Tamandua tetradactyla: one gene and its partners. The protein of the gene in region 1 interacts with the protein of each later gene in a pairwise test. Links are inferred from orthologs where the notes say so. Each region holds a gene or a part of one and is shown on either strand. Other genes may lie near its edges.

Region 1 (3,747 bases):
AACTACTTGTGAAGTTGGAGGAGCACCTTGCTGAATAACTGAAGGTGTGACGGGGGTGGAGGGCTGCTGCCCTGCAATAGGTATGTTTGCTTGTTGACCAATGTTTACCATCTGACTGCTAGTCGGTACAGCAGACACTGCTGTTGGAGCCTGGCCCATGGGCTGGCCAGATGCCCCTGCAGGTTGTGCTTGGACTGCTGGGGGCTGCACTGACAGCTGAACACCCTGGGGCTGAGCCACAGGGATCACTGCTCCTGCTCCCACCCCTGCAGAACTGGGCTGTCCAGAGGATACTGCCGCCTGAAGAATAGGCTGCTGTTGTACATACTCTGGAGTGGGATTTTGAGTCACTGATTTACCATGGCCTGGGGCCATCTGTGTAGGAACAGCTGGTTGCTGTTGTCCGTACTGTAACTGCTGGGGTGGTGGCCCTGGAAGGGGAGTTTGCACTGGAGGAGCCATTTGAGAATATGGCAGTTGGGGTTGAGCCAAAGTGGAAATGGAAGGCTGCTGAGCTAAAGCTGAAGTTACACCAACAACGTTAACAGGCGATGGCTGGATACCAGGTGCAGCACTGATAGTGGCTTGCAGAGGTACTGGTTGAAGACCTGGCTTTTGCGGATAGCTCAATTCTTGAGACTGTAATTGTACTTGGGAGATCTGTGACTGAGAAACACTCTGTGGTATACTTGCTGCTGAGATACTCTGTGGACCAGTGCTACTGAAATCCATCTGTTGAGGGGCCACACCTTGAGGAGCTGGTGGTGGTGGTGGCTGCTGCACCACCACGGCAGGGGCTCCCATCTCTCCACTTCCCACACTCTCCGTGTAGTGACTCAGTGTGCTGACACTACTGCTCACGGAACTCCCACTGGTGCTCTCCCTCTCAGAAGTCACCTCTGCTGGGTTCTGTTTTACCGTCTCCACTGCTTTATTTACCACCACACCTTCGGTGGCAGGTACAGTGTTTTCTTTTTCGTAGAACTCAGTGCAAGTCCACCTGCCTTTCTTAAAGGGCTCAGAACTGGTATCTAACTTAACGACCCGGAACCTGGATGTGTTGACCATCGGTTGTGGCTGCTGACTGGAAATGGGTCCCACAGCCATCCCAGCGGCCACGTTAGGGATATTACCCACAACGGAGGCAGAGACAGTTCCATTGCCCATGCCACTCAAGATATTCACATTAATGCCAGCTCCGGGCCCACCGCTCACACTAGCAGCACTGGGAATATTACTCGTACTTACATTAGCATTCCCAAGCATGCTGCTGGCCACGTTAGGATTAAAACCACCCACAGCAGGAAGGTTTACATTATTCACTGTGTTAGTGCCAGGAACAGAATGTATACCTAGACCGCCAGGAGTACTCGAAGTGCAGACATTAGTCATTACAGATGCAGGTGACCCACTTGATGATACAGCACAAGTTGGTGCAGCTGGTACAACACTGTCCGAGCTTCCAGTTGTAGAGAGTTTTCTGGCTATTGGGCTGGTGGGGGGTCCTCCAGGGATGGGTGCACCGGCCACCCCGGCGTGTGCGGGATGGTGGTGCCCGTGGTGGAGGTGGTGCCCATGACCGTGGTGGTGGTGATGGAGGTGGTGGGGGTGGGCGCTGCCATTGATCACAACATTCTGCGGTGGAAGGTGAGGCAGATGAGTCTGAGGAAGGTGGGGCTGGTTGGGAGAGACGGCCCCAGGTGTCTCGGCTTCCTGGAAGTTATTCAGAGTCTCCTCCGAAGAGCTGCGTTCTGGTTCCCCTAAATCAGTAGCCCTGGAGAGTGACACGTCAAGGATCTCGGAGGAAGACAGATCCTCCGTGTGAGATTCATCCAGGTCGTCATAGCTCTCTGTGTCCTCTGCTATACTGTTGTTCGAGCTGATGCTGGCGGAGATCTGAGCTGGAGTAACGCTTGTTATCTGGAAGCCACTTTTCTTCTTCATCTGAGTTCCGCCTGGCGCAAGAGGCTGTGCCTGCAGCTGAGCCTGCGAAAGCAGGTTCAGGCTTTGTGGGGGCGGAGGCTGTGGTCCCGACGAAGAGGCTGCAGGGGGCGGCGGCTGGAGCAGCGACGGGGGCGGCAGATCCTCGGCAGATGTGGCATGACTCCCGACGCCGGTACCTGCTGCGCTAAGCGCAGAGGCGCTGCCGCTGCCGCTACCCCTTCTCGGGAACATTGCCGGGTGCGCCATCTTCCTAGCGCTCACGTCGGCGGCGGCCTCCGGCGGCTGGTGCATTGTGTTGGGTACTGGGGGGCGGAGGAGGCAAGTGCAATTTCCGTCTGCACCGTAATCTTTGTATTCAAGACGCCGGAGAGGAAAACCGGACCCCACGCTCCGCCTGGCTCGATTCCTCCTCCTCCTCCTCCTCCTCAGCCGAAGGCACAGGCGCCGGTCGCTTCTGCCTCCGGGGGCGAGCTTCGGGAAGGGAGGACGAACGAGGGTGAACAAGGCTGCCGGGGACCCGAAGGGGGGACCCCTCAGTCCTTCGCCCTTCGCTTTCCCCTCTAGTCTCACACCCCACCCACCCCCCCTTTATATTCCCCTTCACGTGGGGTGCGGGGCAGGAGGGAGGGAGCGAGCGAGCGAGCGGGGGAGGGGAGCGGGGCTGGGGGTGAGAGGAGACCGAGGGATGCCCACCTTCCGCGGCCAAGTCGCCAACTCGGAAGCCACCTCCACCCGCTCCTCCCGCCGCGGCGCCAGCGGCGGCTGCAAAGCCCTCCCGGCCGCGCTGCACGAAGACGGCGCGGAGCGAGTCCCGCCCGCCTCTCGTCGGCGCCGCCGTCGCGGACGAGCCCCGAGCTCAGGGGCGCTCAAACCTCCCCTCCCAGTCCCGTCGCGCCCGCTCCGCCCTCCCCCCACGCCCCGCGGACCCTTTCAAACCCCCTGGGCTCGCGGCGGCTGCTCCGAGGGGAAACGCTGGCCGCGGCTGGGGCCGAGGCGGCGAGGCTGCGAGCTGAGCGGCGGCGGCGGCGGCGGGGCGCCCGGTACGGTGAGCCCGGCAACGAGGAGCGGGCGGGCGCGCAGAGGCGCCGGGTCCTCGCGGAGCGCGGCCGGGGCGCGACGGCGGCGGTGCGAGCCGGAGCCAAAGGAGCGCTCCATCACTGGCAGCCATGGAGCCCGAGCATTTTCCTCCCTCGGGGCAGGCGCCTCAGCTCGGCACGCGTCCTCGGGGAGGAAGGGGCCGGCGCCCGAGCCTCCCCAGGGGGCGGCGGGCCGTAGGCTAGCGCCGAGGGGTGCGAGCCGCTCTCGTCCTCTTCCTCCGCAGCCGGCTTGTCCTCACCCGGCTACTGCCGGACCGGGGCGGGAGAGCCCCGGGCGACGGCGGCGACTCCTTTCTCGGCAGCTTCGGTGGCCAGACGGGCTGGTGCAGCGACTGCAGCCGACGCCGCTCAAAGGAACGAGAGGTGGGGCCGCTCGGTGTTGGCCAACGGGGCGGGTGAGTGGGTGGGTGCTGAGGGAGGGGGTCGGGCGGGGGACTGAGGGGGTTGTTACTAGTGCTCTTCGGCTCCCCGGGTCTCTCGCGGCATAGGGAGAGGAGGGACCAGCGCCCGAGCGCAGGAGGAGGAGGAGGAGGGGCGACCGCCGGCTAGAGAAGGAGGCGGTGGCGGGGGAAGGGGAGGGGGCGAAGAGCGGAGAAGGAGGGAAGATGGCGTCTGCGCATGCGCCCCGGCGCCGTAGACATAAAGCCTGGTCTGGCGGGGTAGGAGGCGGCAGGTCTTCGGGCCTTGCCGGTCGCTCGGTCTTTCC
Region 2 (3,747 bases), on another chromosome or scaffold:
GGCTCTTCAAAGAAAAATGTTTACCAATCACTGCACTAGACTATAAAGTCCTTGAGAGTAAAGGCCATATCTGTTCTTGCTCATGAATGGATTCCCAAAGCCTAACACAAATCCTGGTACTCCACTGATATTTGTTAAATGAAAGGTACTGTTTGAGGTGTTATGGATACAATGATGAATAACAATGTGGTGCTTTCTTTCTCAAAAGATGTAGTATCACGATATATCCATAGAGAATACAGAGGAGGGATACTGACCCTAAGAATAAAGGCTAAAAAAATAGTTGTTTGGAAATAATGCTACAGCTGTATTAAATCTTAAAGAGGAGTTATGCTGACAGAAGGTACACAGCAAAATTCATTGAGGCATGGGCTGCCTTTACTACTCACACTTTGGATTCTATTTACTATGGGTGTGAGGGAAAGTGAGGTGTATACAGAGGAAGGATATGTAGAACATATCTTCCTAATTTGTTCAAATAGTCATGTAATCCTTTGTTCAATTCTCACAATTCTATAAGGTAGGTAGGTATTGACACTGTCCATCTTTACTTTCCACTTTGAAGGGTTTCACTTCTCTTTGGAGGCAATAATAAATTGGAAAAGCAGAGTGATCAGTAGTAGTACAACTTGGATTGACACTCTGGCCCATCTTGAGTCAAGCTGTTTATCAGAAATAGGCCACATTTTACTTTCGAAAAAATATATAAAACGGTATCATTAAATCTAAGTTCTAGTTTTATGTTAATTTACTAGAACTTGAGAGTTGAAATACTTGAATGATATGGCTGACACCATCCTTCTGTCAGCAACTTAAAGAACAGGCATCAAAGTATATATTCCCAAATGCCAGCCTGTTAATATGCGCTAGACTAGTCACACGAGAATTATGAGGATTCGTAAGTTCAATAATAAAACTCAATACAGAAATCCATGGGCCCTTCCCTGGAGACTGACTCAGCAGTTCTGCAGTAGGACCTGGGAATCTTAATTTTTAAAGCTTCCCTTGTGGGTGGGTCACGGTGGCTCAGTGACAGAGTTTGCTCCTGTCATGCCGGAGACCCGGGTTGGATTTCCGGTACCTGCCCATGCAAAAAAAAAAAAAGAGAACTGGACGAAATGATAACCAAGATTCTTTCACATATCTGAAGTGTCAAGGTTTCCAAATTCCTTGATGACTGACACTACTAGGCAAGTTTAAATTACTTGAACACAGTAAACATTCAACACTTATTTCATCCTGATTCTATCAGTGACTCTATAACCATCAGTGACTCTACGACCTTACTAGGCAAACACTTTATCTTTTCTATTTCAATTTTCTAAAAATCCTAGAAGTGTCTTTATACAATCAAGTCAGATGTCCATCTCTGTACACGCTGCAAAACAGAGATGTCAGCATTTGCTTTTTTTTTTTTCTGAATAGCTACATGATAGCAAAGTGACAACAAGGCGGGTGTATCTTGAAACGCATGCTGCAAAAACCTGGGCTTGAGAACCGTACTTAACACAGAGTAAGTTTTGGCAAGCCACTAGAAAAATCAGAATCCCCAGAATCATCAATCCTTAGATGGTTGCTCTAAAGAGATCTGCAAGAATGCAAGGATTACCAGCTCCCTCTAACAGAAAAGGAAACGAGCTCAGAAGACGGGCAGGGACCCGAAGCTTTCAGAGCACAAAGAGTTTTGGTCCTCTTTCTACTCTCTGTCCTTCCCGACCCCGTGTCCTACCAGGCGGGCCTGGGCGCGGAAGCAACTGAGGCAACAAGATCGCTACGCCCCGCGCAGACTGCGGGCAGCGTTGGGGGGCGTGGCGCCCACGCCTCCCACTTGCCCGAGCAGGTACGACATACGAGCATTATTTCCCTACAGTGCAGCCCGGAATTCGCTGAGACCGTGCCTTTTCTCACCTCTCTTTACGGCCGGCGAGAAACGCCCGCGCGGGAAAGAAACCCGGCAGCCTCCATTGCCTTCAAAGCCAAGGAGCCGCCAGGCCCAGGGAGTCCTCATATCCTGTTTCCCGTTTGAAGAAAGGAAGTGGAAATCTGTATAGTCGCGCTCAGGCTTTCGGGAAGGACAGGTCTGGTATCGCAAGGATGCTGGGAAATGTAGTTTTCGGCCTGACGGATGTACAATTCCTAACACTGGCTTTCACCGCAGTACCGAGAAGCTGGGCCGTTTTACAAGTGGACCAACAGTTCACACGCATGATTCAAAGCTGCTTCGGCTTCTCCCACCGCCCTTTCCCGACCCGTGCACGCCGTTACCGCCCTAAGAAAACGGGTCCTTGTTGGAGAAGCTTCCGGCACCCAGTTCTTGGTAGTGAGGTGCAGTCCAACAGCAAGTTCCCGACGATAACCACCAGCCATTAAGCCCTTGGGTTGGTGGGAAACGGAATTGGGTCCGGCCGCACACCAATCTGGGACCTGTAGTTCTCAGCCACTGAACATTCCTGGGAATCGCCCACCCCGAGGCCACTAGAACCCCTGGGAAATGTAATCAAGGGAGATATTCATTCTTGTTCCTTCATCGTCCTGGTTGCTTTGCCCTCTGGTGCACAGGAGGACGAACTTTAGGTTTGACTTGATCCTCTTCAGGGAAACCGAAATTCGTCCATTTCCACGGTCGTCTTAATTTTCAGCCCTATACCTGTCAGACCTCAGTTACCCTAGACTGCTCAACATGGCAGAATGCTGAAAATAAAATACACAATTATGGTGACGAAATGCAATAATATAAGTGAATGTTCTTTGTAAATCCTAAATGGTACTCAATTATTAGGCTTTAGAAGCTTAATTATTCTTACAAAGATGTGAACAGCTATTGCTAGATTTCCCTACCTATATGTATTCAAACACCCCACGAGGGTCTGCTGTGTAACAAACACCATTCTCAGTACTGACACAGGTTAAAAGAAGACTACTACTTGATTTCAAACAGCAAGGACTTGAACAATTAGTGGAGAGGAAGTATAAATAGCTATTTCACTAATGTAAACAAAACAAAACGAAACATAAAGACATACCATTTTCACGTATCAAAGATTTTTTAACAATGATAATGCTCAGTGCTGACAGGAGTGTAATTAATCCCACATATTTGGACAATAGTTCAATAATATATATGAATCTTTAAAAAACGAATAACCAGAATTTCACCTTTAGGTATCTAGCCTAAGAAAATAGTCACATCTGTCAGTTAGTATTTGTATGAATGATGATCAGTATTTTTTTATAATAGTGAAAAATGGAAAATATCTCAATATCCAAAAATGATTCAACAATGCAGAAATGTACCAAGTGGGAATATTATATCATCATTAAGTATTATATTGTGATAACTTAAAAAGACAGGCAAAATTTTATAATGCTAATATATGTGTGTGTATACTTAATTATATATGTCCAGTATGATTTCAATTCTGCTACATAATATGATCTCTGCTCTGCAGGGGCTCATAGCCTAGTGGGAAATACAGAGCATTAAATGGGAACCATGATATTTTTGCTTACCGTAAATGAAATATTGATTATGAATAAAGGTACACCTTTTTATGTGTTAACATGTTGGTTATTATTTATTACTATAAAATTCTCTTCCCAATGCACATACATACTATTGATTAGACACCTGACCAAAGCTGGGCCAATCATTTTTACTTTCATGAAACTGTCAGTTGGATTCAGAGATTCTTAATTGTGTCCTAAAGCTGTATGGAACTATAGCAAGTAAGCTCAGGAGCAAGGAGC
Region 3 (3,747 bases), on another chromosome or scaffold:
TCTTGGTTCTAGCGGAGTCCAGTGTTAGGAGTCTGGCAGGGTTGGGTGGGCTAGGTCCTGACCTCCTGTGCCTCCTGATGCCTCCTGGTAGAGCTCTCACACTGGTCCATGCGCTCCTGGTGCAAGAACCGGCAGCCTTCAGGCACCAGCAGAGCTTCGCTCACGAATTCTCCAGCTGTGGAATGAGAGGCCCCAGGATGGGACCCTTTGGCAGCCTCCAACCCATCCTCCCCAGAGTCCATATATTATCCTCAGAGGCTTCTCTGCCTCACTCCAAACCCAAACACCCAGACCCCTAATGTGGGCACAGAACATTGCCCCTGGGAGACCCCGCCTTGGTTCCCCCCAGCCCCCAGCCAGTAACTCACGCAGGCAACGGAAGGGCACGACCTGGGGGGAATGGGCACAACGGCCACCCCGGGCACCTCCGCACCAGCGTTCCATAGGGATGGCCTGCGCTGCCTGCTCCACTCGTGCAATCTGCAGCTCTGGGTACATCTGGGGATACCAGTGGGGGATGATCAACACACTGCTCTGCCCCTGCTGGCCACACTTCTGCCCATGTCCCTTTTCAAGGCTCCGTGTTCAGAAGGACAGCCTGCCTTGGCCCTGCTTTTCTCATTGGAAGTCGCCTTCATTATCTCAGTCCCGCCAGACCTGCAGGCAAGCACCACCCTCTAAGCCCCACCTCTCCTCTGGTCACTCCCCTATCAGGTCCACCTCCCAACAGTCCCCTTCTTTAAGTACCACCTCTTTCTCTGTTTGGTCTATCCATAAGTATCCCTTCTCTTCGAATTAGGCCTGCATTTTCAAAGCCATGCTTCCTACCCACTCTCTCCTTGTCATTCACTCCTTTCCCATTTTGGGGGCCCATAAGGTCTCTTTTTGTTTTAGGCCTGCTTCTTCCTTGTCACGCCCACCCATAAGGCGTGGGCCCACCAGGATTGCAATGTACTGCCTCTTCACTGGGTAATCCCCCAACTCCCTTAGTTGGGCCGTCTCTGCATGGATTTCACTTTTTTCTTGAACTAGTTTCTCAAAGCAGGTTCTGCCCTGTCCTAGCTTCACCTCTCTATTAGGCCACATCCCCTAGCTTCCCATGCCTGCTAAGATCCTGTTTCGCCCAGGACCACGCCTTTTGCACATCTAGCTTTTTATGGGTGACCCCGCCCCATCTTGGCCCCGCTTCCCCGCTGACCACGTCCCTCCAGCAGGTCCCGCCCACCTGTCTGCAGTAGTCCAGCACGCGCTGCGGGTCCCTGAGACAGCGTCGCGAGAGCTGTGGGTCTGGCTCCCAGCGGCCGGTGCGCAGGTCCCGGTGAAGGGTTAGGCGCCCGCATAGCCCGGCCACCTGGGCCGACCCCGGGGCCTGGGGGTACGGGCAGAGAGGTCATTAAAGACCCGTGGGACGCTGGCATATGGTCCTTCAGCCCCTCATGCCCCAGGGCCCACATATTTAGACCCCCAGCACCAGACCCTCCCCCAGGCACCGCGCACCCGCCTTCTTGGAGGCACCGTTCCCCAGGAAACAGCTCCCTCAGGGCGGGGGCGCCCCAGCTCTCCCGTTGCTATGGCGACCCGGGTCCCCCGGGATTCTCGCGGCCCTGTTGCCGCGGAGACAGGCTCGATTCCCACCCCGCCGCAGCCGCGCAGGAGCCGGAAAGGGTTAAACCTGGATCGCGGGGGAGGAGGCCAGAACCCAGGCGTTCTGGCCCCTCCTCCCTCCATCCTGGCTCAGGCATCCATTCTTAGGTGCAAAGACCGCCAAGGCCCGCCTTCAGTGCCCGGCGGCCTGGTCATTAAGTCCTTGAGAACCCGGAGCTACATATTACATCGGGATAGGGGCCTAGAGGCCTGCACTCCTAGATCCTGGGGCCCTCATTTGGGTCCAGAGGATGCCGGGTGCTGGATATTGAATCCAGTGTCCTGATGCCTGGTGGGTCCTATGCTCAGGTGGGAGAATCTGGGGATCTTAGAAGAGCTGGACACCTGCGTTCAGGGGTCTGGAAAAGCCAATTCCTATGTCTGGAGGAAGGGAGGAAGCCTGGGACGTCAGATGATGGGGGAGCTGGGGTCTCCCCCATTTCTGGGTCCAGGGTTCATGAATGCCTAGGGCTGCTAGGGGGGACGCCTGGGGATTGGCCATCTGACTGGAAAGACTACGTTTTCTGCCCTGGACGTCTCCGCCTCGGGGTCCAAAGTCTCCGTGACGTCTCCGCCTCGGGGTCCAAAGGCTCCGTCCCTCCCCTGTCCCCATCCCCCGACCCAGCCCGGCCTCACCTCGGCCGCGCCGGGGCTCCCACCGACCAAGCTCCCGGCGGCGAGCTGCGCGCGCAGAAGCAGCAGCAATAGCGGCAGCCACAGCGGCAGCGGCGGCGGGTCCCAGTGGCGGCTCAGACCGCGAGCGGCGGGGCTGGCGGGCCCCATGTCCCGGCCCTCGCGCCCTCGCGTCCCCTGCACTCCCGCCCGGCCGGCCGGGCCCCAGCGGTGACAGGAGCTCCCAGCGCCACCGCCACCACCGCCTCCTCCCGCCGCCGCTGCTGAGCTGCGCCGGCGCCGCCAGCCCCGCCCCGCGCCGGCCCCGCCTTCCCGGCCAGGACAATAGCGTGGCAGCTCTGCGCAGCGTGGAGCAGCTCGGAACCCCGAGTGGGAGCGTGCGCCGGCCCCCGCCCCTCGAGATTCCAGGCATTCCGCCCCCGGCAAGGGCCCAACCAGGAGTCTGTGGGGGTCATGGGCTCCACAGATTTTGAGTCTTCCCTGAGGACCCAGGAATTCTCGTCTTCCTCAGACCCAGAGACCCCCAATCAGCTTCTCCCTCTTCCAGGGATGCCAGCATCTGAGAACACCCCCGTTCCTTCTCCCCCACGAATTCTTCTTTTGAAGTCTTAGGAATACAAGCCTCCAAAATGTCTACCATCAAGAACACAACAGTTGAGACCCATCCACTCCTCCCTCAGGTCCAGGAGTCTGGGCCCCAGGCCCCTTTATTAGAACCAGAGGCCAAGCCTCCGGCCCCTCCTTCTGGACCCTGGTGTCCAAGAGTCTGCACCTTTAACTCCCTTCTAGCTCAAGGATCCATGAACTCAAGCCCCCAGTCCCTTTCTTTAAGGATGGCCCAAGTCTAGGCCCCCAGCATCTCAGGGCAGTGGTCTGTGTCCCTATCCTTGCTCTAAAGACAGGCCTCCCCATCCCCCTCAGGACTCATTGCTTTCTTTGACTCCTCAGATGATAGTATAGTTTTCCCCAGGCACACGGGAGCAGCCCCGTCACGTGTAGGCATGTATGTGCACATGCATGTATGTGTCTGTCTGTGGGTACGTGCCCACTTGCCTCTTTCTATGTATGCGACTCTGGGTGTGCACATCTGCATGTGTGGTTGTATAGATGTATACCGAGAGAGTTAAGAGAGCCCAGGGCAAATAGTAGCAAGGTGCTGGGGGGTGGCTCACCTCATAGGCTAGGGTAATGGCAGGTTCAATGGACATTCTCCTCAATGGAGGGGAATAATGTTGGGAAGGTCCCTAAATGGCTTTCATTCTTTTGACTTTTTTTTATTAAACATAAATACTCTCATCCCCAAATTCTTCTTCATCCCACAACTCCTCACCTCCTATGATTGTTCTCACCCTTTCCACTCTTTGGGTCCAGTTCTTCCTGGACATTTAAGGAAGGTGGAAGGAACCAATAGGGTAGCCATATTGGGTTCCTGAGGAGTGAACGACCATCCAGGCTGCACTTCTATTAGCC

What was found.
Region 2: the proteins of TSC22D1 (region 1) and CCDC90B interact in a two-hybrid assay, tested with the Homo sapiens proteins (2 studies listed by BioGRID and IntAct). The link is inferred for Tamandua tetradactyla from reciprocal best matches to the Homo sapiens genes TSC22D1 and CCDC90B.
Region 3: the proteins of TSC22D1 (region 1) and APLP1 interact in a two-hybrid assay, tested with the Homo sapiens proteins (2 studies listed by BioGRID and IntAct). The link is inferred for Tamandua tetradactyla from reciprocal best matches to the Homo sapiens genes TSC22D1 and APLP1.

Annotation. Positions count from the first base shown.
Region 1 is NC_135330.1:114,319,765-114,323,511, reverse strand, and holds the start of TSC22D1 (TSC22 domain family protein 1), read right to left. Parts: upstream 2,951-3,747; 5' UTR 2,871-2,950; intron 2,617-2,870; exon of another isoform or gene 2,416-2,616; 5' UTR 2,236-2,415; coding exon 1-2,235. UniProt on the Homo sapiens protein: Transcriptional repressor. Acts on the C-type natriuretic peptide (CNP) promoter. Acts to promote CASP3-mediated apoptosis.
Region 2 is NC_135334.1:61,280,943-61,284,689, reverse strand, and holds the start of CCDC90B (coiled-coil domain-containing protein 90B, mitochondrial), read right to left. Parts: upstream 2,486-3,747; 5' UTR 2,009-2,485; coding exon 1,909-2,008; intron 1-1,908.
Region 3 is NC_135342.1:30,106,355-30,110,101, forward strand, and holds the start of APLP1 (amyloid beta precursor like protein 1), read right to left. Parts: upstream 2,524-3,747; 5' UTR 2,428-2,523; coding exon 2,281-2,427; intron 1,370-2,280; coding exon 1,226-1,369; intron 499-1,225; coding exon 369-498; intron 176-368; coding exon 63-175; intron 1-62. UniProt on the Homo sapiens protein: May play a role in postsynaptic function. The C-terminal gamma-secretase processed fragment, ALID1, activates transcription activation through APBB1 (Fe65) binding. Couples to JIP signal transduction through C-terminal binding.